4 linked regions of the Pelodiscus sinensis genome follow. The protein of the gene in region 2 interacts with the protein of the main gene of each other region in a biochemical or structural test. Links are inferred from orthologs where the notes say so. Each region holds a gene or a part of one and is shown on either strand. Other genes may lie near its edges.

What was found.
Region 1: the proteins of CDK1 (region 2) and CDC25C form a complex in vitro, tested with the Homo sapiens proteins (3 studies listed by BioGRID, with this or other methods). The link is inferred for Pelodiscus sinensis from reciprocal best matches to the Homo sapiens genes CDK1 and CDC25C.
Region 3: of the proteins of CDK1 (region 2) and HMGA1, one has a biochemical effect on the other in vitro, tested with the Homo sapiens proteins (3 studies listed by BioGRID and IntAct). The link is inferred for Pelodiscus sinensis from reciprocal best matches to the Homo sapiens genes CDK1 and HMGA1.
Region 4: of the proteins of CDK1 (region 2) and PKMYT1, one has a biochemical effect on the other in vitro, tested with the Homo sapiens proteins (2 studies listed by BioGRID and IntAct). The link is inferred for Pelodiscus sinensis from reciprocal best matches to the Homo sapiens genes CDK1 and PKMYT1.

The regions. Positions count from the first base shown.
Region 1 is NW_027465994.1:524,303-531,371, reverse strand, and holds the start of CDC25C (M-phase inducer phosphatase 3), read right to left. Parts: upstream 3,005-7,069; 5' UTR 2,863-3,004; intron 1,916-2,862; 5' UTR 1,890-1,915; coding exon 1,702-1,889; intron 12-1,701; coding exon 1-11. Other genes in the region: oocyte-specific histone RNA stem-loop-binding protein 2, read left to right, coding at 4,083-4,160. UniProt on the Homo sapiens protein: Functions as a dosage-dependent inducer in mitotic control. Tyrosine protein phosphatase required for progression of the cell cycle. When phosphorylated, highly effective in activating G2 cells into prophase.
Region 2 is NC_134718.1:23,046,883-23,053,761, reverse strand, and holds the start of CDK1 (cyclin-dependent kinase 1), read right to left. Parts: upstream 3,013-6,879; 5' UTR 2,867-3,012; intron 2,861-2,866; exon of another isoform or gene 2,634-2,860; intron 2,625-2,633; exon of another isoform or gene 2,398-2,624; intron 2,380-2,397; 5' UTR 2,291-2,379; intron 1-2,290. UniProt on the Homo sapiens protein: Plays a key role in the control of the eukaryotic cell cycle by modulating the centrosome cycle as well as mitotic onset; promotes G2-M transition via association with multiple interphase cyclins.
Region 3 is NC_134737.1:11,423,344-11,430,726, reverse strand, and holds the start of HMGA1 (high mobility group protein HMG-I/HMG-Y), read right to left. Parts: upstream 3,002-7,383; 5' UTR 2,983-3,001; coding exon 2,861-2,982; intron 1,340-2,860; exon of another isoform or gene 1,266-1,339; intron 1-1,265. UniProt on the Homo sapiens protein: HMG-I/Y bind preferentially to the minor groove of A+T rich regions in double-stranded DNA. It is suggested that these proteins could function in nucleosome phasing and in the 3'-end processing of mRNA transcripts.
Region 4 is NC_134714.1:134,509,077-134,516,056, reverse strand, and holds the start of PKMYT1 (membrane-associated tyrosine- and threonine-specific cdc2-inhibitory kinase), read right to left. Parts: upstream 3,002-6,980; 5' UTR 2,872-3,001; exon of another isoform or gene 2,814-2,871; intron 1,820-2,813; 5' UTR 1,796-1,819; coding exon 1,421-1,795; intron 661-1,420; coding exon 170-660; intron 1-169. Other genes in the region: GREP1 (glycine-rich extracellular protein 1), read right to left, coding at 4,154-4,179, 4,588-4,641, 4,832-4,897, 5,019-5,084, 5,205-5,261, 6,040-6,105, 6,278-6,337, 6,423-6,482 and 1 more. UniProt on the Homo sapiens protein: Acts as a negative regulator of entry into mitosis (G2 to M transition) by phosphorylation of the CDK1 kinase specifically when CDK1 is complexed to cyclins. Mediates phosphorylation of CDK1 predominantly on 'Thr-14'. Also involved in Golgi fragmentation.

The sequences.
Region 1 (7,069 bases), on a different chromosome or scaffold from region 2:
TTGGCGTATTCCTGCAACAACACATCAAAACCCAAAGCATCAGGATGGAAATATTGGTGACAATTACCAGGATGTTCACATGCTGATTGATGGAAGACTGGACTCAAAAGGAGGATCTCTGTCAGAACTCTCTTCTGCATCATGCCCCCGCTTAGAGCCACCAGAACCATAAGATTATCCACCCCCATCAAAACATTAGCTCTGTCAGCCACTTTGGGAGCTCTTAAGGGCACTTTTATAAAAAGATGGCTCCTTTCAGTCAGAGATGGCTCCTCAGGCCCCCCCGAGAAGTTTAGCGGCCATTAGGGATGTAATAGTGTAGTCGATTAACCAATAAGCAAAAGCTTATAAATTAATGCTATAGACTACACGCATTCCCCCCTTGCCAGTACTTTTAGCAGGCCAGCCAGCAGCCCAGCTCAGTCTTGGCTTGCGTCAGGTCTGGGACCTACCCCACTGCGGCTCTGCATTTCAAATGTATTAGGAGCCAAGCAGGCTGGCAGCCCAGCTCAGTCCTGGCTTGTGCCAGGTCTGGGAGCTCAGCCCCTGGATAGGGGCTGCTGCCACGCAGTGCTGCTGCCTCTGTATCAGAGGCAGCAGTGTGGGGTGACAGGCAGCAGGTCTGTGAGGGGAACTGGTTTTTGAACTGGCTCCCTTTGCAGACTAGCTCCTGCCTGGCACCCCGCGCTCCTGCCTCTGATACAGTGGTGGCAGGGGCCTCTGAGGAGCAGGGCCAGAGCACGCTGGCTGCCAGCCCCTGCCTCACCCCCAGGGACTATAGAATAGTCAAGTAACTGATAAGAATTCATGAGGTTAATTGGCTATTCAGGTAACCGACATTTAACATCTCTAGTGGCCATGCTATTTACACCAAAAGACTTTTGATTTTTTTTTTTTTTAATGAAAAGCCCGCTCAGAATTCCTTGCAAAAGCAGGGACAGAGTCTTATAGACAGGAGCCTCTGACAGGTGATCCTGACTGGTTTGGCTGCCCCTCCCCACACTGCCTTGCCTCTCCCTGCCCAGACCCTCAGAGCTGCCCCCTGGGAGCCTCCTGCTTGTTGTGCAGGGTGGGGGAGTCAGAGGCAGGGGGTGCTGATGTCACTCTGTCCCCCTCCCCTGTACCCCATCCTCAGAGTGAGGAGGGCAGGGCCTTGGCAAAGGGGTGGGTCAAGGGCAGGGCCTTGGAGAAGGGGCAGGGCGGGGATATTTGGGTTTGAGTTAAACCCTGCACTTCAAAAAGTGATCTTGTGCTTCAAAAGGGCAGAGACCACTGTCCTAAATTCAGACCTCAATGTCTCAATCACCCCACCCCTCAAGAGCAAGCTGCTGCCCCAGCCCTTGTAGCAGCACCAGTTGACGTGCACCCTGGTTCACGCTGAGCAAGGAGACTGACTTTCATCCCAGCTTCATCTTCCATGCTACCTGCACCACCAGGGCTGCTATGCTAAAGGGAGAACAGACGCACTATTAGGTCTCTGCCTGCTGGGCAGCCTGGGTGCAAAGAAATCAGCCCAGAACAAGCCAAGCTTGTGAATGGCCCAGCCCCTCTCCTCCTACTACAGCGTTGGCTGGCAGGGTGGCTATCGGAGCCTTGTGCCTGGGGCTATTCCTCATCCCACTACCAGGCAGACTTTCCCCACCTACTGCCAGTACCCGAGGGGGGCCTCTTCCTGGAGGAGGTGGCCACGATGGGATTTACCCTGCCAAGGTGCTGAGGTTCCTAAAGCCTCGAGCGAGGTCCGTGACCGGGGTGCGGGGCAGCTCCGGGGTGAAGGGCAGAGAGACCTCCGTGTCCCTCAGCAAGTTCAGCACCATCCTGCATCTGGCTCGGAAACCCAGACGGGAACGGGGGCTGCCGGGTCCCGCAGGGGAGATATTCCCGGCCATGGCGCTGCGGCCCGCGGAGCCGCCACCTAGGAGCAACGCGAACCGAGTCACCCGCGGCAGCCTCCCGTGCCCATCCCCGGGGCCTCCCGCCCGCTGCTCTCAGCGTCCCGTGCCCATCCCCGGGGCCTCCCGCCCGCTGCTCTCGGCCTCCCGTGCCCATCCCGGGGCCTCCCGCCCGCTGCTCTCGGCCTCCCGGGCCCATCCCCGGGGCCTCCCGCCCGCTGCTCTCAGCCTCCCGTGCCCATCCCCGGGGCCTCCCGCCCGCTGCTCTCGGCCTCCCGTGCCCATCCCGGGGCCTCCCGCCCGCTGCTCTCGGCCTCCCGGGCCCATCCCCGGGGCCTCCCGCCCGCTGCTCTCAGCCTCCCGTGCCCATCCCCGGGGCCTCCCGCCCGCTGCTCTCGGCCTCCCGTGCCCATCCCGGGGCCTCCCGCCCGCTGCTCTCGGCCTCCCGGGCCCATCCCCGGGGCCTCCCGCCCGCTGCTCTCAGCCTCCCGGGCCCATCCCCGGGGCCTCCCGCCCGCCGCTCTCGGCCTCCCGTGCCCATCCCCGGGGCCTCCCGCCCGCTGCTCTCGGCCTCCCGTGCCCATCCCCGGGGCCTCCCGCCCGCTGCTCTCGGGCTCCCGTGCCCATCCCCGGGGCCTCCCGCCCGCTGCTCTCGGGCTCCCGTGCCCATCCCCGGGGCCTCCCGCCCGCTGCTCTCAGCCTCCCGGGCCCATCCCCGGGGCCTCCCGCCCGCTGCTCTCAGCCTCCCGTGCCCATCCCCGGGGCCTCCCGCCCGCTGCTCTCGGCCTCCCGTGCCCATCCCCGGGGCCTCCCGCCCGCTGCTCTCAGCCTCCCGGGCCCATCCCCGGGGCCTCCCGCCCGCTGCTCTCAGCCTCCCGGGCCCATCCCCGGGGCCTCCCGCCCGCTGCTCTCAGCGTCCCGCGCCCATCCCCGGGGCCTCCCGCCCGCTGCTCTCAGGTCTTGGCCTCACCCCCTCTAGCTCCAGGTCCCGAGCCCACAGACTTGAATGAAAATAGAATACTCGGAACTTAAACCTGCCGCCTGAGCCCAGCCAATCACAGAGATTGGTGCCGATCGTGACCAATCAGAACGACTGAAGGATGCCCCCCTCCCAAACAAAATCGCCGCTCTCTGATTGGGTAAATCCGCGTGACTCGAGCGAGGTGCGCACCTATTCGGGGAGAAGCGGACGGAACGTTTTCTATTGGACGCTCGAAGGGGTTCCGCCCATCTGTGGCTCTGTGAGGCCAATCACCGTCCCCGGGAGCACGTGGTTGCTGGGGTTGCGGCCGTAGATATCAGTGAGGCGAGGCCGGCCTATCGAATGGGGAAGGTTTTGCTTGGTTGTGACGTAGTGCTGCATACACCCCCACCGCTTGCCTCTCATGCTGCCAGAGTCTCACGCGCTGGGCGGTTGGGAGCCGCTGGCCTGCAGGTGGGGCGCGTGGGCCGCGCTCGCGCTGTTCCCCTGTCAGTCAGCGCCCCGTTGGGAGGGTTCCCGGTCCACGTGGGGCCGGCGCTGCCCTGACCGAGCTGGGGGACCCGCCCCCGCGGTCCCTGGGAGCTGGGCGCTTGCGGGGCTCGGGCACGGCCACGGAGCGAAGCCGCCGCTGGGTGTGTCTGCGCCTGGTGCACAGGGACGGGAAGGAGCAGAGGGCACCCGGGCTCCCGCCTTCTGGGCCAGTGGCTTTCCAGTTAGGGGCTGGTGCATGGCTGGGGCCCTTGCTGCAGTGTCCCTGAGGAAGGAAAGCATCTGGGCCTAGGTGATGGAGCTGGCCTTGCTGCCCGCTGGCGGCACTCCGGGCTTATTCAGGACCAGAAGTGCAGGAGCAGGGCGTGCTTGGCACCTTGTTAGCATGACTTCTTGTGCATAACGCTTCTAGCCTGTGTCTCACTTGGCTGATCATCCTCTCCAGGCATTTGGAGACTCTGTTACGCAGAGCCCTTTGGCTGCCTTCACAGGCAGTGACTGCTGCCCTTGGTTTGGAATTGTTCTTGGAAGCTCAGTTTTTAGCTAGCTCAACCTGCAGAAGAGAGGTCTGTCCCTGGCCTAAGCACTGGCTTTTCAGAAGTTAGTGTGTTCTTCCGGCCGAGGAGTAGTAGGATCACTGAGCTCACTGCCTTGTAGGGAAGGTTTGCAAACTCTGTCTAAGGTGGAGAATTGATTTTTCTTCTGTAATTGACATGCAGTTCTCTATTTCACGAACCTCTTGTTCTGGGATGTGAAGAGCCTACCTCTGGAACAGCATCTGTATGTGATAAAAACAGGTGGGTGGAAATGTGTTGTCTGTCTACAGTTAACAGACATTTGACTGTATCCTTAGAGATAAAATGCATGTAATTAACGGGGCAAAGAGACAAGGGAGCTGCTTGCAACCCTCCAAATGGGGTCTCCCTGGCTCATGTTGGGCCTGATGTTGCTGTGCTGTGGCAGCTCCCTGTGCAGCCTCATTGTATGGCTAGATGTGCTGTGGCAGAATTGGCAAGGGAACTGCCAGATGTCTCGATTTAGGATTATTTCTATGGCTTCCAGCATAAGCATGTTTAATATAGTGAGATCAAGGGCATAAGAATGAGCAATTTGTGCTGGAAAACAGCAAGGGTATGTCTACATTGGCCAGACTTGTGAAAGAACATATGCAAATGAGGCATGCCTCATTTGCATACTTAATGAGCCACTATTTTTGCACAAGGGGCTTTTGCGCAAGAAGGAGCAGTCTACACTGCTCCTTCTTGCGCAAAAGCCACCTCTTGTGCAAGAGCTGTTCTGCTGCTTATTTTCAGGCAGAACGGCTCTTGCACAAGAGGGGGTTTTTGCGCAAGAAGGAGCAGTGCAAAAGCCCCTTGTGCAAAATGGCAATGCAGGATAGCGGCTGCTCTGGCCAATTTCTGGAACAGAGTTGGAGATATGGAGGACATTGTCCCCTCTTGTATCCTGAAATAGTAGTGTAAGAACCTGTCTCCAGTACATCTCCCCACTTGTTTCCCTGCTGCCCTCCCGCTAGGTTGGATGCAGAAAGCTAGAGCCAGGCAATGCAGGATAGCGGCTGCTCTGGCCAGTGCCACAGAGCAGGAAGCAGCCGTTGTCCCTCGTCTTCTGCTGGTGCCCCAGACTGAATCTGCTCCTTAGTTTCCAGCCCCCTTTGCACCCACAAAGGCAGCAGGTAAGAGCCACCCAAGTGGAGAGATGCAGTTCCATGGTTGGCAGGCCCTTCTGGGAACAGGGACTGCAGGGGACACCTTCCAGCACACAGCCCATAGTACCCTCTTCCTGCACCTTAAGCCAGCTCCTCTCTGTATACATCTCCTAGCCACCACTCCTCCCTGCATCCTGAGATACCCCCTGTCAGCACATAGTCCCTAGCTGCTCCCTCTCTGCACTCTAAGCTGTTTTCAAACTTTTTGCACTGTGCCCACCACATTTAAATTATTTCTGCTTGTGCTCCCCCCAACCCAGCCAGGCTGACTTGCTGAGGTGAATTGGGGTGAAGGTGGCTTCTTTCTGTGGACCCCACTGCATAGGCATGGGAAGTTGGGGTATAGGGAGTGCTACAGCACTCCCAGCCCCACATGCCAGCTGGACAGTGGTAAGGGGCTCACCACGCTCACTTTTTAAAATGTTCCTGCACAACTGTCCCACTGTACAGAGCTGGATCAACCACTGCTGGCCCTGATGCCCTCAAAATAGAAGTCAAACTATGCCTACACCCAAGGTCCCTGCCCTGAGAAGTCGCCCTAACTCTGCTGGACCCTAGAATTCTTAATAGCATGTTGGGGGGCATCAAATAGAACAATGTTGAGAATCCCTGGGATGAAGGATGGATGAAGTGCATGGCTCACAGAATAAGACACTTCCCTTCTCCTAGGCTCCTTCCCTGCTCAGAATTCCCATTGTTCAGGAAAGTGGTTGTACATATTGTAGCCTGGGGAGGAGATATAGTGGAATTTAGTTGGGTAAGGCTCGCCAATCTGACCAGAGATTCTAAGTCGATCTTCTCTATCCCAGGTTACAAGTGGGTAGAACCAAAAGATTCCCCCTCATAAGGGTTTGCAGACGATTGACAGTCACACTTCAGATTAGGAAATGCAATGAAAATCAATTTTATTGCCACAGGAATAACGATTACAGAAACCACAAAGAATATGGCAGTAAGAACATAGATTAACTGAATTTCTTCCACAGATCAAACTACAACTTATCTATGTATACAGATATTACATAAGAACAGTCGTACTGGCTCAGCCCAAAGGTCCATCCAGCCCGGTATCCTGTCTGCTGACAGTGGCCAGTGCCTTCAGGTCTGATTGGATTAGAGGCAAGGCTTTGAGACAGACCTACCATCAGCTTTATAAGAAGGCAACCAGAGTGGCCAACAGGGTAGTTTGCCTGAGAGTTCACCCTGAGGAGAGACCCATAGTGTTTGGTCTTTTCCTTGAATTTTTTTCTCTTCTGCCCTTCAAAGGGGCATTTAAAAACATGTGAGAAATCTCTCAGAAAGAAGGCGGTGAGATGGTGATGGGTCTGCTGCTACCTGCACCACATGTGCCATGTTTGTCTTCCTCCCAGAAGACAGAAATGATTTCATCTGCACTAAGTGCAAGCTGGTCGCCGTTTTGGAAGAAAAAATTAGAGGACTTGAGGCTCAAGTATCAACCCTACGTTCTGTCAGAGGATGAAGATTTCCTCGATAGAAGGCAGCATTTAACCCTGCAGGCACAGCAGGCTGAAGAGCCAGTCAGGGTAGTACAGGACAAGGAAGAGAACTGGCAGCATGTAATCTCCTGGAGAAGAAGGCCAACTCAGGTGTCTCCCATTCCTGTAGAGGTAAGTAACTGCTTTCAGGCTCTCTGCACAGGCACTACGGTGGAGAATGCTTTGGCAGGGACCTCTCAGGGAAGAAATCAGAAGGGAACACCATCTACTGGAAGGAATGGGATGTGTAGTCCTAGGGATGGGGGGGTCCACAACCCCCCTCCCCAAAAGAAGAAAAGTGGTGGTGGTTGGGGACTCCCTCCTAAGAGGGACTGAGTCATCCATCTGCTGAGATCTGGAATCTCAAAGTGTGCTGCTTTCCAGGAGCTTGAATTCAGGATGTGACTGAGTGTCTTTCAAAACTGATCAAACCTTCCGATTGCTACCCCTTCCTGCTTCTCCATGTAGGAACAAACGATACGGC
Region 2 (6,879 bases):
ACACAATTAGTGAAATACTTGCTTAACATCCCTAGTTCCAACCACTCACAACAGCATAAGACTTTAGGAGAGGCAGTAGAGGATCATAATGGGGACACAATGAACTTGAGACAGGAAGTCTCAGAGCGGTAGCCTTGTTAGTATCTAATTTAAAAAAACAAAAACATTTTAAACAATGACCCTGTAGCACTTTAGAGAGTAACAAAAATATATAAATAGCATCAAGAGCTTTCATAGGCACAACTTCTTCAGATGACAAATATGGAGCAAGGAGCACAGTTTGAAATATAAGGAAGAAAACCTGTTTGTTAATTTATTTTGATTGCTTATATGAGGGTGAAAGTGAAAATATATAGAGATACCTTCAAAATAGAAAAACTGAATTTTTGAATGTAAATAGAGGCAGAGGCATGGGCAGGGTCTACTTTGTCAATCTTTTTGTTTGCTTTGCATTTGACACCACTTTGCAGTGCTGCCACCAAGACATCAGGAAGGAGACAAGAACTGCATTAGTAGAGAAGCGAGCAAAACAAATTTGAGAGTGAAGAGGAAATAATGGAAAACATAGGAGAGACTGTCCTAAGAATGTTCCCCACTAAGGATATTAAGGACTAGTCAACTATCTGATAAACAAATGCTTATCGGATAGTCAGTTGACTAGTTGATTCCCACCCCCCCCTTGGGGCGGGGGGGAGAGGCTGATCCCAGGCTCAGCTGTGCAGCGTTGCCTCTTTGAAACGCTGAGGCAGCGTTTCAAGATGGCATCGCCAAGTGGAGTCCCGAGTCAGCTGGGGACTCCCCACCTGATCCCAGGCTCCGCTTGGCATTTCTGCAGAACCCAGGGTCAGCTGGGGAGTCCCCAGAAGAACCTGGGTTCTGGAGAAATGCTGCACAGAACCCAGTCTCAGCTGGGGACCCCCCAGCTGATCCTGGGTTCTGCTGAAATGCAGCATGGAGCCCATGATCGGCTGGGGACCCCCAACAGAGCCCAGGTTCTGGGGAAATGCCACGCAGAACCCATGGTCAGCTGGGGGAGGGGGGGGTTCTCAGCTAACCCCAGGCAGCATTTCAAGTCAGCAGCACAGCATTGAACCCGGAGTCAGCAGGGGGACTGAGTCCCCCACTGACCCCAGGTTCCATGCTGTGCTTCTGCTTTGAAATGCACAAGAGCCCCAGTTGGGGACTCTTGTACACTTCAAAGCTGGCACACCCACATGAAGTCCAGAGTCAGTAGGACTTCCCACTGGCCCTGGGCTGCAGGCAGAGTTCTATATTCGCCCTTTGAAATGCACAAGAGCCCCACAGGTCAAAAAACTTAATCAGTTAAATTATTTAAATTAAACTGTTCTCCCTAGCTGAAGCACTAGCAAAATGATTCGGGCAAAGTTATGTAATTAACGGAGAGTTTCCATTAGCAACTGGTGGTCCACAGAAAGGTTTGCATTGAGCCAGGTGCTCCACAGGTCATTCTGCTACAAAGACCTTTTACATCTGCACTTGAAAGGGAATCCTCTGAACTGTCATTCATGTTAAAATTCGACACTTTCCAAAAAGGACTTAAACATTTGATCTCACCCATTACCAAGATAGTTTCCCCAATTATCACCTCTAATACCATTAACTCACATACATCCCACTCTCCCTACCTCTAATATCATCAATTCACAGACACTTACCTTCCTTCCTTCCCCCCCCTGTTCTGCAATGTGATTTGTCCTTTTCATATTTGTTCATTTTTTTTAATTGTATCCTTTGGTATATATGGTTGTGACTACTTTCTTCCACTATTTGATCTGAGGAAGTGGGTCTGGCCCACGAAAGCTCATCATCTAATAAACCATCTTGTTAGTCTTTAAAGTGCTACATTGTCCTGCATTTTGCTTCAGGTCAAAAAAGTTTGAGAACTACTGCTCTTCATAGTTTGACAGGACCATTTTGTGAAGTATTCTAAAGGAACAGACAATTTAATATTATCTTGGGGTGGCTTTGAGGTTGGCAACATGATTACCCAACATTTAAATTCAGGTAACACAGAAAAAAGTTATTAATACTGCTTTTACTTCAAACATATAACACAATAAAAGAAAGCCTATTTGGGGCAGAGGCCTTTCTACCACATCTATAGGTCATGAATTCCTACAGTTGTATACACAAAGTTGTATTGTATGAACGCTAATGCGAGGTTACCAGATGACACAGTGCACCTTAAAGCACTTTCAGTTTTCATAATCTATCAACCTGAAAGTTTAAAGTAACTATTCAGATGTCTGCCCTTTATGGTTTTACTTACGTTTTCCTAACGTACCGCCTGCTCTTCTGCTGTATTAAAAAGGCAACACAAAGGAAGCGGTCTGCCGAGCAGGGGAAGGCTGAAGCTGACTAGAAGACAAAACGTACCATCAAGTGCTCAGAAAGACAAAGACGGGCAGGTGGCGGAGGGCGCCGCACAGAGACGTGCTGGTTTCTAGGTGCTCCGGGGCGGTCACGGGGCGTTTAGGTTCCCAGGTTTGAGCTTAAACGCCTGTTAACGTTTCCGGACGCGCGGGCGAGTGTAGCCCCGAGCCAGGCTGAGGTCCGGCAGCCGCCAGGCACCCCTGCGGCCGCGCTCCCTCCCCACGGTGGCACTAACGTACGGACAAGAGCAGCTCGCTACCAGCCTCAATGGGCCTGCTTCGCTCCCGCGCCGCCCCCAGCCCTGGCCGCGGGACGGGCCCGGAGCGCTGCGGACACGGCGTTCATCGGGACCCTGGCTGCGCTGCCCCGGCCCGAGCCGCACGCTCCCAGGGCAGCCGGACGCGGGTCCTTCCCTCACAGGCTCAGGGCACGGGCCGCTCCCAGTTAGAAACCCACCGGCCCAGGCACTCACCCGCCTGCCTCGCGACACCAACAGCCCCACGCGCCTGTGCGGGGCCGATTCGAACTGACCGCGCTGAGCCGCCCCAGCTCCGCCAACTGCGTCGCGCCGAGATATTCAAAGCAGCCAATCAGCAGGCGCTCCTGGGCAGGCGCCAAGGACGCGCCGAAAGGCGGCCTCGAGTAGTGGCGCGGGCGGGCTCCTCAATCTGAAAATGCTACTGAGCGTCCCACTGATTTCTAACACAAAGGAGATAATGTAACGTGGGCGGGTCTTTAAAAATCAAAACGGCATTGACAGGCCCGAAAGCTTCTTGCTTTGGAATATATTTAACAGTCTTTCATCTGTCTAGCGTGGGGCACCTTAAAGACTAACAGACTTATCTGGGCACAAACTTTCATGAGCGCATCTGGTGAAATGGCTTTTACCCACAAACACTTGTGCCCAAATAAATCTGTTAGTCTTTAAGGTACCTACCACAGGACTTTGCAGATACAGACTAACACAGATACAGACTAACACAGGTACCCTGCTGGGACTTTAAACTGTCTGTGCCTCCTAGGATGAAGGACTTCTCTATGTTTTCAGTGAAACATTATTGATCTGCCTCAGATTTTTTGTAATTAATGTGAATAATGACAGCACCTCCACATCAGTCTTAGGCCAGACAATTAGTGGTGGAGATACCAGCTGTATTCCCTACTCCCTTCTCTCACATGCTTAGGGTTGCCAACCCTCCAGAATTGGCGCAGCTTCTCCAGGAATTAAAGATTAATCTTTTATTAACAATTGTCATGTGATGATAAAATCTCCAGGAATTCTTTCAATCAAAATTGGCAACCCTAACATCTCATCATTGCAGGATCTAATACTCTGAATCCAGTATCTTAGCAGCACCCCTGAAATGGGACAATATTGTCACTCTGTAAAATGCTTGCAGATACTTAAGCTGATGTACCCATCTACATATTTTCCATGAGATGCTCCTTAGGCACCTAGATAGAGTCATAGAATTATGGGGTTAGAAGGGGCTGCACTGGTCATCATGCTGAGAAATGCTCAGGGAGATTAGAGAGTCTACAAACCCAGAAAAGACTGTAATAATAGATACATAAATAAAGGCTAGAGCCTGGCTGCCATGAAATGTGCTGCCAACTTCTCCCCTCTTTATACAGGCCTGAGCTTGGCAAAACTGCTATGGCACTTCCTAGAATGAGTGGGCAATGCATTTGGCAGCTGGGCTCTAGACTCCCTTGCTGCTCTTGGCAGCATCCACGGCACTTCTCTTCTAGAGAAAGGGATAAACAGTGAGGTGGCAAAATTTCCAGATGATACCAAACTGCTCAAAATAGTTAAGACCAAAGCAGACTGTACAGAGCTTAAAAAAATCTCACCAAACTAAGTGATTGGGCAACAAAATGGCAAATGAAATTTAATGGTGATAAATGTAAAGTAATGCACATTGGAAGAAATAATCCTTACTATACATACAATATGATGGGGACTAATTTAGCTACAGCTACTCAAGAGAGTGATCTTGGAGTCTTTGTGGATAGTTCTCTGAAAACATCCACTCAGTGTGCAGCAAAAAAACAAACAAACAAAAAAAAACAAATAGAATGTTAGAAATCATTAAGAAAAGGATACAGAATAAGATAAAATATCTTAATGACTATATAAAACCATGGTACACCCAAATCTTGAATACTGAGTACAGATATGGTCGCCTCATCTCAAAAAAGATATATTGTCATTGGAAAAGTTTCAGAATAGGGCAACAAAAATAATGAGGGGGTTTGGAATGGGTCCCATATGAAGAGAGATTAAAAAGTTAGACTTTTTAAAAAGTTGGACTTTTCAAGTTAGAAAAGAAGAAACTAAGGGAGGGATATAAAATCATGACTAGTGTGGAAAAAGTGAATAAGGAACAGTTATTTACTTATTCCCACAATATAAGACCAGAACAGGACTTCCCGCAGACTAAACAGGCACAAGCATTTTCAAGTGCCTGTTACTCTTATATGCATTGCTTTGCCTATGCTGATTGTTGTATTACTTTGCTGTAGCTGTGTAACCATTTGCCAGTATTAAGCCTGTAACAGTAATGACGTAGTGAGATTAATAAAAGCAGCCATTGACTCTGTCTTGAAGCGAATCCACAGCCCTGGCCCTGTGACTTGACAGTTGTGACCTTAGGTGGGAAAGAAGGAGGTGGAGTGCTATGTGCAGGATCTGACCAGGAGCATTTACCCTAGGCAACTCTTGGCCAGCAGCCCAGCAGGACCTTGGGACAGGATTCTGTGCTGCAAACATGGCCCAGGCAGCTCCTATTGACCGGTTTCCAGCCAATGGGGCTGCGAGGATTGTGCTGCAGGTGGGGCAGTACACAGAGCCCCCATCCACATGAGGTGCATGGTGCAGAAATGCACATGGCCCCACCAGCCAAGTACTTTGAGCAGTGTATAAGGCTGCAGCAGGCAGGGAGGCTACCCAAGAAATCTTGCTAGACCTTGATACACTGGTAGCCTAGAGTATCGTGGTGGGCTAGATATGGCCTGCAGGTTGTATTTCGCCTGCCCTGGCTCTAAGCTTTTATTGCCAGTGCCTACAGTCCTGTCCCCCATCACCTGCATAACACAGTTGGTGCTGGGCTCTCCACAGCTGCTCTCTGTCTACCTCCCCCAGAAAGTGATTCAGATGCAGTAGCTCTCTCTCTTCATTACTTCTCTTCCCAGACTGGCTTCCTTACCTGCCTAGAGCAATCCCTGACACCATCTGCAGCAGGGTCTAAAGCCTAACGAGTCCTGTGCTACAACAAGAACATTTCCAAGCTTCCAAGTTTCACATTTGGCTGTAAATCTCAGGAGCACTGGAACACCCATGGAAAATGATTAGTGGGTGCTTAGCATCCACAGGCAGCCAAGCTTCTCCTTCCCCCAGACCCTCCCACCCCTCAGTGATCCTGCTCCTTCCTTTTCCTCCCAGTGCCTTCTTCATGCTGCAATCAACTGTTCAGCAGTGTGCAGGAGTGCTGGGAGGGAAAGGGAGCAGTAGACATGGGGTGTGCTTGGGGACACACCAGGGGCAGGAAGAGGTAAGGCAGATGTGAGAGTTTGGGGGAAGAGGTGGAATGGGGGCAGGGCTTAGGGCAGAGGAGAAGTGAGCACATGCTCCTCCCCCCATCCACGTAGAAGAGAAGTCTGCACCTATGTCAGGAGTAGCTCATTTTAGGAGTGGAGTTCATCTGCTGTTATGTTGTCAATACTATGACATCAAAAGTGCTTCCAGGAAATCAGACCCGTTTTCCTGCTGAGTATCTGCAGTGAATCCCACTGCATACCACCACAATCTTTAAATTGTGCTCTCTCCCCTCATCAGGAGTCCTCTCTGCTACAAGGGCTGATGTATTTCTAGTTTTAGACCTAAATGGAGCACAGGATCTAGTCCAAGAGGCTGAGTATAGCTAAAGCATAATTAAATTTAACATTTTTGTCAGTGTGGTGGGGCTGACCTGCCCCACACTGAACAGGGGGGCGGAGAGCCCGCCTATTGGGTGGTATATGCCCCTCCCCCGCAGCCCTGCTGGGCATGCTCGCAGTGCAGCCCCAGTACAAAAGACTGCTGAGCTGCTCAGAAGGGGCTTGGCCTCCGGGGTGGAAGGAGCTCCTGCCCAACCTCCAGAGCCACCACTGGACCTGCCGCCGGAGCAAGAGCCCCGTTGCTACTACCGTCCCCAGGTCGAGTGTGCCCGCAACACTGACTCCAGAGGGTCACCCGCCCCGCCACGGTGGACAACCCCTTCGCTGCTGCCGCAGACACCGGACCTGCCAACATCGCCGCCGCCGCCAGCCCAGCTTCTGCAGGTGGAGTCTCTGTCAGCCACAGGACTGGGGTAGGAAGCATCCCAGGGCAAGGGGCAGGGAACCCCCGGTGGGCTTGGCACGTTTCGGGGAGAACTCTCCGCTGAGCCGGTGGTGGGAACCACCCACCATTAATAGGGCCCTGGGTTGGGGTCTGGTGGAGAG
Region 3 (7,383 bases), on a different chromosome or scaffold from region 2:
TGACCAAATGGGCACCACCACCCTGGCATTTTTTAATAGAGGTCTTCACAATTTGCTCCCAATTTTTTCTCCTAAAGATTTGGGTGCAACGTTTCTTGGTTTGGTCCCAGTTCTGCAAGGCCTCCTGTAGTTCAGTGAGTCCCAGGGTGCTAATGCAGCTCACCTATACATACTTCAGCTAGCTTTAATCCAAGCAGCAGGGGCATGGGCTATATGAGGCTGCCTAGAACCCAGATCAATTACTTGAGGTGGTCAGCCTGTGGTACTGCGACTTCACGGCGCCAAATCCACGTGCTAAAAGCAGATTAAAAGTAGCTCTGGTACATCAACATAAGCTGCAGTCGTGTCCTGGAATTGCAGCACAGATATACTGTAAGTATCACATGTGTGTGTCTTCTGGACCATTGTACTTGGGCAGTGGTTTTCTACCTTCTCCAAACTGATCTGACCCCATTCCATCAACTTACAGCAGTAGAAGTGTTTCAGGACCTTCCTCCTAGCTATAAAGAAAGAGGAGGTTTGCAACCTCCCCCTGGAACCTGATCGCAACCCCCCAGGAAAACAGGGAGCCCATTTAATTAGCACTGAAAGCGGTTGTGCAGAGAGATTAAATCTCTAGCAATGCCTTTGCAGCGCTAACAAGACACAATGGTTTTGAAGATGCTTCAGTTCCATTTACTCTCTCAGCTGTAGCAACCACACAGGGTCCCCTTTACAGAGGGCTACCCTCAGCAATGGGTAGTTTTGCTCCAATTCACACCAGCACAATTCACCCCGTCGTGACATCCATGCAGCCTTCCTCGCCAGGGCTTCACTGCTACAGCCCAAAATGGGAAGTTCAGATTCCTAAACAAGTTGCATAGTGGGATCAAAGCCCAAGGAAACCACACACGCATCCTGAATGCACAGGCCTTCTAGGTTTTTTAAAAAAAGTGCATATGGGCTCATGTTCAGTTGTGGAAGTGACTCACGAGTTAGTAAACCTCAGAAGCCGCAGCCTCATGTAAACACCCCTATGCATTACTCACTACAGCCAAAAGCTATTCAAGGATTCTCTCGCTCAGCCCTAATGTTTTGGTTTGTTTTTAAAAGTTAAATTCATGGTCACTTGGGTACCTTCCAAGCCAGGATGCTTCTCAGAGGTGATACATCCTTTGAGCATCTGTCTCTGAAAATCTGGCCATGCAGAGCTTTGGACTCACAACATACTTCCCTCTGCCCCACAGAGAAACCCCTCTCCAGCAGCTGCATGGGGCAGGACTCACCCCACTGTGCTAATTCAGGGTCCCATCTCCCCATTTTGAGCCAGTAGCGAGGTTTTTGGCAGAGCTGTGTTACCCTGCAGGAAAAGAGAGCCAGGAAGTAGGCTAGAAACACAAATCCTTTTGTAGATGGTCCTACCCAGCATCCAGGAAGCTGCATGAATAGATTTGCAGCTTCTCTGGGCTAAACCCCTTCCAGTTTTTGCAGCAGCTCTGATAGGCAACCTCAGTGCAGCATTATGGGGCACTGGGAAACTGCGGATATCTGTGCAGGGATGTCATAGGTCTCTTCCCTGTCTAGGCCAGGTCTACACAATAGCCATGCCACTGTAGTGCCGTGGCGTAGATGGAAGATTTTTGTGGCATCATCTTAATTAATCCACAATAGCTAGGTGGAGGGATGAGTCCTTCTGTCATTGTCCACCTCCACACCCGGGGTTAGGTTCACCTAACCACACACAGTGCTCAGGGCATGAAGTTTTTCACAGCCCCCCAGGGACACAGGTCGACCTAAGCTTTAGGTGTAGACCAGGCCTCTGGCTTACGAAGAGAAGCAGTCAGTGGTGCAGGAGGAGCTAGTCAGGTCACATGGCTGTCTTGCTGTGCCCTGAACCCCGCGGGCAGGAAGCGAAAGCACAGCAGACACACGCAGCTGGCTGGCTGACACCTGAGGAAGGGACCTGATACTCCGGCTGTTCTTTCGGACGCACAAGCCTCCGGCGTGTCTCCACACCCTAGCCCAGTTTCACAGCACCATTCCAAGCAACCAGCCCTGCCGATCCAAGGCCCAGTCACCACCTCCCAGATGAACCACACACACAAAAAGGGAGACCCAGTGGAGACCCATCTCCTGCGTACATCTCAGTCTCATCGTGTGCAAGAAGGCAGAGCAGCCGCGCAGGGACACCATCAAAGCAGGGTGGTGCCAGCAGCAAGGGAATAGCATAAATAAAAACCTGTTTGATTGAGGAATAGAGGAGGGCTGGAGGGGGAAGGACCGGACAGGATGTGCATGCAACTCCATCCCTATTAACTTTAGGAACATTCCAATGCTGTACGAGAGCAGCCCAATCCTTTTAAATGAGCACAATAAAAGGAAGTGAGAAGGGGGAGGGAGAGAGAGGTCACAGGAAGAGACACCACCAGAAGCCCTGGAGGGTAGAATAAAAGCCACCCATTTGGAGAAGGGCTTGATTCCAGGAGAAAGGGCTGGCCCCCTCCTCAAGAGGAAGGAGCGGGAGTGGAAAGAAACCTGGTAAAGTTTACAGCGGGGGCAGGCCACGGTCTGTTCCCCCCCTCCCCACTTTTGGACTGCCACTGAGGCCAGCCCCAGCCTCCAGAGGGGGCGGAAGCGGAGCTCTTCCTGGGGGGCTATCTGGAGCCCCCAGGAAACCCGGCCTGGCCCCCAGCTGGGAGGCAAGCGTGGGAGATCCCAGGTGCTGGTACTTCCCACCACACACAAGATTGGCAGCGCAGCTCGATCGCTCTCAGCACCCCGGCGCTGCAGAGTGTGCCAGCCCCCTCCTCCCGGGGGGGGGGGGGGGAGAGCCATGCACCCCCCCCTAAAAACCACCCCATCTCCATGGGCACACACCGACCTTAGCATCCACCTCTCTGGTCCCCAATGGGAACAAGCCGGAGGGGCAAATGGAGCCCTCCCCCCGCGCACGCCCCCCCGCAGCGGCTTTACCCCCGTCTGGTCGCGGCTGGAAAGAGACATGGCCTCGGGCCCGGCCCCTTTAAAGGGGCAGGAGAGGGGGCGTCCCAGCGCGCTACCTGCCCGCTGCACAAGGCACAAGGCAGCCCGCCGGCTCCGGCCGCTATTGGCAGAGCCGCAGCGCACAAGACACGGCGAAGGGGCAGGAAAGCGCTGTCGCGCGATTTGAAAATGAAACCGGCTCGGAGTGTGCGTATTTGCAAAGCTCGCAAATGCTGGAAGGGGGGGGGGGGGATCAGGAGCACCGAGAGCTCAGCCAAAGCCACCCACCCTCCCCCGAGCCCTGCAGCGGCCACACTCCGCCAGCCGCCCGGAGCCGATTGCAAGCTAGTGTCCCCCCCCCCAGCCACTGCTGCTCCACCCCAGCGCCCAGGTGGGGTGGTCTCCGGAGGGGCTTCCATCCATCAGCTCGGAGACCTGCTGAGGAAAGGCCCCCCGCTCCCAAAGCAGGTGCTTTAAGGATAAAAATAAAGCAGGGTGGAGAGGCAGCATTGCAGTTTCTGCCCCCCCCTCCAGCCCCGTGCAAGCCCCCCCCCCCCACCTGGCATACTGCAATGCACGATGCGAAGCAAAGCAAAAGGGCACATCGATTCCGCATGCCTGGCTTGTTTTCCTCTGCAAATTCTTAAAAACAAACAAGCAGGCTTCAGAATTACTTTTTTTTTTTTGCAATTGGAAAATGATTTTTTAGCCCCCCCCCCAAGCTGCACATTCGACTAAAAAATGGTAAAAAAAACGAAAAGAAACATCAACTCCCCCCCCCCACACCTCCTCCACCCAAATCAAAACGAAAAAAAAAAAAAAAAAAAAAAAGGCCAGACACTCACAATTGCTCTCGGTCTCGGCTCTGTGTGGTGTTGTGTTTTTTTTTCCTTGTGAGTCTGTGTTGTGATCAAATTAAACCCCAACCCCCCTTCTGGTTGCTGCTGATTGCAAATGCGGATCTGAAACAAGAAGGCAGGGACTCACTCACATACATATACAGACCAGCCAGGGCTCTCTTATTTATATAAATAAAAAAAATTGTTCCAAGAGGAAGGAAGCTGGGTCAAAATCATTTGCACGGGGGAGGGGGGGAGGGGGAAATAGGAAGGGGACCAAAAACAAAAAAAACCTCCAAGCCTTACAGGAGGGACTATCCAGCTACTAAAAATAGCAAAATCACACTCTAAATTAAATAAGGGCAGGCTGGCTAAGCTTAGGGGAGTGTTAAGCCCTTCTAGTTGAGGAAGGGTGGAGCTCAGCAGACGCTACGTCATCACCAGTGGGTGGGGAACATGCAAAGAAGGGGAGGGGAAGGGTGATTTAAAAGTGCTGCTTGGTTAAAGCCAATGTTGGAAGGTGGGTGGAAAATGGCTAAGAAAGAACCATCACTAGCAAAAACCAGCAGGAGCAGCCAGGACCACTGTCTCCTTCCCCCTTTTAACAAAACAAATCTGGTAAGATGAAGGAGAGGGGAAGAGAATTGTTTTTCAGAGTTGTCATTTAGACACATAAATATTTAAAGAGGGTAAAAGAAAGCCCCTCAATTGTTCTTTGGTTTAAAGGAGAAATGATTTCTGTATGGTTCCTGTGGGATAGGTAGCAGGCAAAGGGCTGAGATATGAAGCTATTTATTATTTTTGAGAGCGATGCTTGCAGGCAGCTTTAGACCCTCAATTTTTTACAAAAATCCCCCTTTTTACATGCATGAAGTCATTTTGATTGTGAGCAAGGGTGGGACCTGTTTTTGGGACCTGCTTGTGCTGTTCTATGACTATGTAAGTCCTGGTTTACACCAGTGGTGGGTGAATGAAAGATCAGGACACTGTACTGTAATGTAGGGAACTTTTCCACAGCCTGGGCTGAATATCAATAGATTGTCTTGTCACCTCCCCTCCTATTTGTGATTGTTCTAGCCCACCTCTGACCCATGTTCTCCATTGCATAGTATCTGTGTAGTAGCTATGGTAATTGCTTACATGGAAAAGTGACATTAGGAATGTATTATTTAATGTATCTTTAGATTATTTTAACATGATTTAGCTGCTGGTAATCAGGAAAAACGAGCCCCACATGGTCAGCTACAAACCACCAGCCCCCATTTTTTTTAACCTAAGTTATTCTAAGATCAAAGTCTATTAAAAGTGAAAGGATTTTTAAACTCCAATTCACTTGTCCCCCATTATGGCCTTTTGTGTATGTTTTACATTTCTCCCCACCTGGATGAGGAAATGAACGTTTCTCTTTTGCTGAGGATCATTTTCCCATCCAAGTTCTTCCTCTGACTTTGGGCTTCAAACTCTGCAGTTAAAAGTAGTTTCATTGTCATTTTCTTCTGAAACTGAAGACTCATCCAGGGAGCCAAAGTTTTAAAATCTGGGTGCCTAAAGTTAGATTCCTAACTTAAGATTTAGGAACCTAAATCAAAGTAGCTGGTTTTTCAGACCTGCGGAGTAGCTGCAGCTTTTGCAAGCTCTTGGTCTGCAGTAAGCTCAGCATGGCCACAAAGATTCACCAATGCCAATTTTATGCAGGATCAAAGCTATGGCTCTAGATGAGGGCTGAGATTTTCAGTATCTTTGAAAATCAGGCCATTTTATAGGAGGGATAAGATTTTTGCCCAGTGCTTAGCACAGTGGAACATTGGTCCATATCTTCAGCTCCTACGAATGAATGCAATACAAAATATAATAGTATTTTGAAAAGTACATAAACCCTTTAGGAACATAGAACACTGAGAAGAAACCTAAAGGAGTTAGGTACTGAACTCTCATTATTCAGTGGGAGTTGAGTGCCTAACTTTCTGACTTGTTTGACAATTCCCATCACAAATCCCAGTCAGTAAAGTTTCTTTTTCATTAGTCCCTTTTTGAAAAAGTGGTTGCAAATTCTCCTGTGAGTTCTTAATTTAAGCACACATTGTTATTCCTGGCAGCTGCAAAGTTTGAAACAGACTAAAAATGAAAGGGAAACTGACCAGTCTGTTTTTAATGTATAGAAAAATACACAAATGGCATAAATGGAAAAAAAAGTAAAAATTCTTAGACTAGTTTTATAGTGGGTAATGCCACTGAATTCAGTGAAGTAATTCCTCATTAACGCTGGTGTGAGAGAAAAACACCATGATCGGGGCTTGATTCATCTCAGTTGACAGCAGTGCAAGTGAGGTGAGATGCAAACCAACCATGCTGATGTGTTTTTGTTTTAAACCTACTTTTTTACAATATAAAGTTTTAGTAACACAGGTAGATGCATATTATTTTTTTGTTTTAAATAAAAGTTAACAGTAAATAATAAAATCACAGGTCTAAATCTTCATTGCCTTGTGTTATTTCCACCTGTGCCAACTTGGTGACCTCCTTAGGCCTCTTCCAGCTCTATGATTCTAAGTGATTTTAAAATGCTGGCATTTTGGCTGGACAGTGATTGACACCCACATTGCCTAAACAAAATGACCCCAGCAAGGTGTAAGACAATGGAGAATAAACTCTGTCACATTTCATGGAGTTTTCCTTTCATATGTCTAGTTCCTTTGCTGAGAGATTTTGCCCTATATTTCAAGGCTGCCTTCAAAATTTGGTTCCTTATTAGAATCATAGAATCCCAGGGTTGGAAGAGACCTCAGGAGGTCGAGTCCAGCCCCTTCTCCTGCCCAAAGCAGGACCAACCCCAACTCAATCATCCCAGCCAGGGCTTTGACAAGCCGGGTCTTAAAAACCTCTAAGGATGGAGATTCCACCCCCTCCCTAGGGAACCCATTCCAGTGCTTCCCCACCCTAATAGGGAAATAGGTTTTCCTAATATCCAACCTAGACCTCCCCCACTGCAACGTGAGACCATTGCTCCTTGTTCTGTCATCCGTCACTACTGAGAACAGCCTCTTTCCGTTCTCTTTGGAACCTCCTTTCAGGTAGCTGAAGGCTGCTATCAAATCCCTCTTCACTCTTCTCTTCTGCAGACTAAATAAGCCCTCAGCCTCTCTTCATGGGTCATATGCTCCAGCCCCCTAATCATTTTGGTCACCCCCCACTGGACCCTCTCCAATGCGTCCACATCCTTTCTATATTGGGGGGGCCTATCTATACTAGACGCAATACTCCAGATGTGGCTTCACCAGTGCTGAATAAAGGGGAATAATCACTTCTCTAGATCTGCTGGCAATGCTCCTCCTAATGCACCCTAATATGCCATTAGCCTTCTTGGCTACAAGGGCACACTGTTGACGCATATCCAGCTTCTCATCCACTGTAATCCCCAGGTCCTTTCCTGCTGCTTGTCGGTCCCCAGCCTGTAACAATGCTTGGGATTCTTCCAACCCAAGTGGAGGACTCTGCACTTGGCCTTGTTGAACCTCATTAGATTTCTTGTGGCCCAATCTTCCAATTGGTCTAGGTCACTCTAGACCCTATCCCTGCCCTCCAA
Region 4 (6,980 bases), on a different chromosome or scaffold from region 2:
GCACATCTGGGTGCCTGGCCTTGGAGCACATGGGGTGAGGGGATGGTAGTGGTCAAGGAAGGGGGTGCGTGGAGTGGAGGCCAGAAGATGGGTCTAGTAGTGGACAGAAGGATTGGGCTGGGAGTCAGACAGGACATCTGGGTTCTATCCCTGACTCTAGAGGCCCCACCTGAAGACATCAGCTGCCTCACTGTACTCCCCCCGCAGCAGCTCAGGTGCCATGTAGCGTGGGTCACCCTCCTGGGCATCACTCAGGTCTCCACGGTCCAACTCCAGCACCAGGCCAAAGTCGCCCAGTTTGCAGACGTGGCGCTCGGTGAGGAAGACATTGGCTGGCTTTATGTCCATGTGCAGTAGCCTGCAGGCATGCAGATGGCGCAGCGCCTGCAGCAGGTCCCAGAGGCAGGCCCGCACCTGGCCCTCAGGCAGCGGTCCATGTCCCTCACAATGCTGCAGCAGGCTGGCCGGGCATAGTTCCGTCTGGATGTACAGTTGGCCCCGCTCCTCCCAGGCCCGCACAAAGCTCACGCAGTTGGGATGGCGCCCCACTTGTTCATGCTTCCGCACCTCGGCCAGCTTGCGCTGTCGGTCGCCGGCTCCCCGGAATGGCTCCACTGAGCGCTTCACTGCGTACAGTCGCCCATCTTCCTTGCTGCGCACCTGTGAGGGAAGGTCAGCCATGGGGGACACAGATTCCCCCCAACAGATTACTTCCTTTCCCCACAAAATAACTCCATGCTCACCCTCCATGCTGCAAACCTGGGGGAGTCTGAATCAGCCACCAGGGGAACAGGCTCAGGATGAGTCATGCTCACCCCCCAGCTGGGATTAAGGATGTTAAAATGTGGAAAATCAGCTAACAGGTAGTGGATGGAATTTCCATTGACTACTTGATTAGTCAATTGGAGGGGGGACGGGGGGGGGGGAACGCTGCCCCCACTGTAGCTCTGCAGCAGGGTTAGCTCCCTGGGGCGGCATGAGCCAGGAGTAAGTAGTCCTTGCTTGTGCAATCCCGGGAGCTAAACCTGCTGTGGCTCTACCTTTTAAATGTCGTAAGAGCTGCCAGGCCCTTACTACATTTAAAAAGCAGAGGCGTAGCGTCTGGGACCAGGTGCAAGCCGGGACAGGTGATGCCTGGCTCGAGTCTGGTCCCCTGTGGTGCCTCTCCTTTCCCTGCGCTCTGCCTCAGCTTTCAAGGGGGCTCTTCCCTCCACTGGTTCCTTCTCCCCCAGCCCTTGCTGCCTAGGATAAAGGCAGCCGGCGGGAGGGGAAGCAACCAGTGGACAACTCGGCTAGTCGCTTATGTCCCTAGATGGGATCCCCTTAATTTCTGCATCTCTTAGCTAGAATTCCTCATCCCAGATGCCCCCAATTCCCACATCCCGTCCCCTGCTGGGATCTGCCACCTTAGCCCTCTTACCTTATACACCTCCCCAAAGGAGCCGCGCCCCAGCCGGCCCAGCAGCTGGAAGCACTGACTGAAGAAGGGCTCTCTGCGGGCAGGGTTGTAAAGGCGGCTATGTGGGGCCAGCGCCCGATCCTGGGAGCTGCGAAAGGAGACGCTGCGCGGCCGAGGTTGGCTCCAGGGCTGCGGTTGGCGGCTGGCAAAGACCCGGCTGACAGTGAGAGTGCCCTTGTGGCGTGGCCGGGGCGGGAGGGTGTAGCTGAGTGGCCGACCCGGCTTCTTCACTGAAAAGCTGCGCTCGGCCTCCCGGAAGAAGGCCGGCACGGGCACGGGCAGGGGCGTGCGGCTCAGCTGGGATTCGGTGCCCGCGTAGTCCAGGGGCAGCGGCATGGCTGGCTCTGCCAGGGGGAGACACTGCAGGGAGAAGAGGACAGCAGCTGGGGAGAGCACCAGGGGCTGGTTGGTGGCTGTGTCTCAAGGTCAGCACCCATTGGCATGGGCGAGGGGTGTGGGGAGGGCAGGATAGGCTCTGCAGGCCAGTCCCTTGGTATAAAAACAGGGTGGGGGACGCCCCGCACGGTCCCTGCCTTGGGCAAAGTGGGGGGCCCTGGCGGGCTGGGTACAGCGCGGGGAGGGGTTCAGCCAGGAAGACACAGGGGGCCAGCTTGGGGGAAAGGGGCTGGTGACAGGGGGGGTCAGTGATGGGGGCTAGCAGGGGGGCCAGTGGGGCAACCTGACACAGCAGGGGGCTCAGTGAAGGGGGGACCTAGCAGGGTGGGGGGGACTCAGTAATGGGGGGAACCCAGTGACGGAGGGGCTCTGCCAGCGGGGGGGGGGGGGTAAGTGACGGGGGGGGCAGCCCAGTGACGGGGGGGCTCTGACAGCGGGGGGGGGGGGTAAGTGACGGGGGGGGGCAGCCCAGTGACGGGGGGGCTCTGACAGCGGGGGGGGGTAAGTGACGGGGGGGGCAGCCCAGTGACGGGGGGGCTCTGACAGCAGGGGGGGGGTAAGTGACGGGGGGGGGCAGCCCAGTGACGGGGGGGCTCTGACAGCGGGGGGGTCAGTGACGGGGGGGCTCTGACAGCGGGGGGGGGTCAGTGACGGGGGGGCTCTGACAGCGGGGGGGGTCAGTGACGGGGGGGGTCGCCCAGTAGCGGGGGGGCTCTGACAGCGGGGGGGGGTCAGTGACGGGGGGGGGTCGCCCAGTAGCGGGGGGGCTCTGACAGCGGGGGGGGTCAGTGACGGGGGGGGTCGCCCAGTAGTGGGGGGGCTCTGACAGCGGGGGGGCCAGTGACGGGGGGGCCCAGTGACGGGGGGGCGGGTTTCTGACAGAGACGCAGTTGGGGGCGCTCGGCGTGGGCCCCCCAGCGCGAGAGAGCCCCCGGGGGGCGGGGCCAAGGGGCCTCACCTCCTCCCCGGTCCCCGCGGGGGGAGGGGGGAGCGCCGCGCTCGCTGGCCGCAAGTACCCGGATGTGGCGGGCTCCCCGCGCGCGCCCCGAGCCGGCCCAACCGCCGCTCCGTTTGGCGCCAAAACCGTCCGGCGCGGCGCGAGCCGCCAACCGTCCTCCCCCGCCTCACCACGTTAGCCAATCAGCGGCGGCGGCCCGGGGTGGCCCCGCCTCCCGCGCGCGTTCACCCCGCCCACCGCAGCCCGGCTCCGAGGGGCGGGGGGGGGAGCGCGGCCGAGACACGTTCCCGCCCACAATGCACCGCGGCAACCAAAGTGTGGCCAAGCTCCCCCCAACCCAGCCCCTTGCAGTAGCAGCCCCCCACCCCCCCTCAGGGCAGCCCCCTCCACTGCCACCCCCCTCTTCAGGGACAGCCCCCCCCAGGGATAGCGATTCCCTTCCCCCGCCTCACCCACATTCACCACCCTCGCCCCCACTCCTGTGGGGAGAACTCCCCAGAGCACGACCCCCAGGTGCCCCATGTCCAGGCCCCCCCCCCCCCCCGGCAAGCCAATGGGGGGGGGGAGTGAGGAGACAAGCTGCTTCGTCAGGTTGCATGGGGGGAGGGGCTGACCAATCACGGTTGGGTGTGGGGTGGGAATCCCTCCACTATGTCAGCTCCCCCAGAGAAAATCACCCCCCATCTCTCCTTGCCCGGGGCAAACAGGACTAGCCCCGCTTGCCTGGACGGCCCCCTGCCCATCCTTCCACAGAGACTCAGCTTTACTTTTTCTTAATGACGATTCTAGCACTATGATGGCGAAGAAAAGCTTCACAACGTGCCTGGAGAAGAGCCAGCCTCTGCCGGAGTGTGCGGAGAGCAAACGCCAATTGCCGTGGGAGGTGTGAACGACAGTGGAACTGGGACAGCGCGCAGGCGTACAGAGATCTCGAGACTTCAGCTTTGTGCGGGATCTTTATTGCAAGCGCTCCCACATCCCACTCTCTAGCTACAAACACATATTCTCTGCCTAGCCAGTAAAAGGGAGTTAACAACCGAGTCACCCCGCTCCGACCTTCCCGGTATTCCTGTACAGGCCTACCCTTAAAACCCCTCTCTCCTCGCTGGCCAAGCCCAAGAGGAAGGGAGGTCAGAAGGGTTGCAGCCTCACTTTCCAAACACATTACATTTACCAGTCACTGTTTGTTTTTCTGTTAAAAAGACAGATCTGTAGCCATTAAAAATAAAGAGAAAGAGACGATAATTTATCTCAGGAGAAATTCTTTGCTTTTTCAGCACCAGAAGCGGTAGGCTTCTGCCATCCTGTGGTGCGAAGTTCCCCAAGTGAAGGTCGGGGACTCAGCACTTCCCGGGAGGGCAGCGACCTGGCATAAAGAGAAGCATGAGGTCAGAGCTTCAAGAGAGCAGCACATCTTCAAGGGTGAGTGGAGACTAGTGCATCCACCCACACATGTGGGGATAGAGAGCTATTCCTTCCCAGAGCCCCTGCCTTCTCTTTCTCTAGATAACAGGGCATTGATTCTATATGGGATATACCATCATCCGTCTTACCTGGGCTGCGTTCCTCCTTACCCAAATACTGTACTCTTCCTGAAGTTCACCCTGCTGTGACATTTGCAGCCACTGCCCATGTCAAGCCCTTAGCCAAACTGCAGAGATTTGGCTCCTTTAGCTTGTGTCCTCCCCCAAGATAATCCCCTCCAAGAGTCATAGCTCTTCCCTGTTTCCAAGATTCACCCCCCACCAACACACATGCCTTCCCCAATTCTTACCTCTGTATCCATTCCCCAGAAAGCCGTTCAGCCCATACTTGGCCTCCTTGCTTCCTAGAAGCGGGTGGGAGCAGATGAGAATTGGTCACTGGCCATCCCCGTCTGCTACCCAAAGGAGAATGACTCTCTCTGGACAGCAGGGGAAGGCACAGGACACGCATGCAAGAGCAGTTTTGGTTGCATCACAAGACAATAGGATAAAATGTTGCGTCTCTCCCCCACTCCCCCCCACACACACTCCTACCATATGCTGCTGGGGAGAGTCCATAGCCTCCAGGAGCCTGCCCTGCTGTGAGTGGCCCGTATCCCCCTGCAACAGCGACAAGAGTTATCAGGAGGGGTGGAGTGGAGTGGGGCAGGAGCAATGGCTGTGGGGGGAGCTCCCAGCTCCCTCAGTCCCAGAAGCAAATGGTGCAGGGTGGGGATCTTACCAGCAGCCAGTCCGTTAGCCTGCAGATCCCCTCCGTTTGCATGTCCCAGTCCATTCCCGTTGCCTGCTGGGGGAGGGGGCAGGAAATTAGCACAGGAAGGGGCTTTGAGCCCCTGGGGATGAGTATACATGTGTCCAGAGGCAAGGGGGGACCCATGTGACTGGACAGCCCCTCACCATCTCTTACCATCCAGGGAACTGGGCCCAGCCTGTTGTGCCCTGTACATTAGTTGCCCTGCACCACCTGGAGGAGGAAACATGGTAGTGTTGGTGAGTGGAGATCTCAGCACAGGGACAGGAGATTGCACTGCCTACGGGCAGGGCGGGACGGTATGCTGGGAACCAAGGGAGCTGTCACTGCGGGAGGCTCCAGGATCTACTGGTAGATCCCAATCTACTGGTTGGTGACCACTGGTTTAGGCAAAGCAGGGTTGGCAAGGGGCATCCCAGCCCCCCGCCCACATCCCTGCACAGGGTGGGGGTGGGACGAAGATACTGGGCGGCATGGCACAGATTGCTGTGCACCGAGGCATGTGTGGATGTGCACTACCAATAGAAACACATGTAGGCGGCTGTGGGCACTCTGCCAGTCAGCTGGGCAGCATTTCAATGTTTTCTAGGAGGCCACCCAAGAGCACAGCTTACTGGGGACACTGCTGCTGCACCTGAAATAAATCTTCTGGGGGGGGGTGTCTGCCCTTCACACTTCCCTCTATAGCAACTCTATGGACAAGTTCACCCACCGTAGGAGCCCAGAGCCCTTACTCACACCTACCTCATTTCCCAGCACCATAGTCTCCCCCCAGACCAATGGGCATGGTCTCTTGGAACTGCCCATGGTCTGGGAGCTGGCCCAGGCCTACAGCATGGACAGGGTGTCAGGATGGGGGGCACACTCCTTTGCCCCTCCCTCAGCCAGCCAGTCCCCCGTACTGGGTTTGGATTGGAGCACAAGGCCCTGTGTCCCGTTTCCTACTTCCCAGAGCTAAGCAATTCCTGGCTCTGCGGTCAGAAGGACTCACCATATTTAGCAGCTGAGAGATCTGTGCTAAGGCTGGCAAAATGCCCTAAGTAGGTAGCCTGGGCACCTGGGGATGGAATAGATTAAGGCAGTTAGCTTGGCTTGTGCACCTCTGTTCCAACCCACAGCCCTGGATTCCCCCCACAGCTCGGCCAGAACCCCTCATTCCTGCCCTGCAGCCCCCTGCCAGCCCAGCCCTGCCCCGCCCCTCGCTCTCCTCCCTCTGTCACTGGGCACACCGTTGCCATATCCTGACTGGAGTCCGGCCCCAGGGTGACTGTTCCCTCCTGCACCGTAGCCTAGAAGAGAGATGGGAGATCAGACAGGCTCAGCCTGGATGTGGAGGGGGGGCGGGAAGTGAGGTACAATTTGTGGTCCTCTTACCATTCCTGTATCCTGGCTGTGCCCCATTGGCCAGGTATCCACCGCCTACTCCAGCGATTCCTACAGAGCAAAGAGAATCCAGATTGGGGTGCACTGCTCCAGCCCTGGCCTCTCCCAGTAAGGGGTGCTGTGGGGGGTGCCGTGGGGAGCAGGGTAAAAGTGCTAGCAGCGGGGGGGGGGAGCCCCTTCTACTCCAGCTCTGGCTCTCTCAGCAGGGGGTGCTGTGCTTAGCTCATGCCCCTTACCTTGTTGAGCTGTGGGGTAGCTGCCAACTCTGGGTCCTGCCCCATAACCTGTGGGGGGGAGATCCCAGAATGAGACCAACCTAGAGCACAGAAGAATCTGGCTTCTGCACTGTGGGCTCTGGCACTGGAGGCTGGAAGCATCGGGGCGGGGGGTGGAGAGGGAGGGGGCTAGCAGTGAGGGGGATGGTTAGCAGGGGGCTGTGGGTTTTGGAGGCAAGGATAGATAAATCTCTTTCAAACCCTTCAGGCTGCTCGGCAGGTGAGCTCCTCTCTGCCCAGGGAGGGGAGGGGGCATGGCAGTTGGGCTCACCTC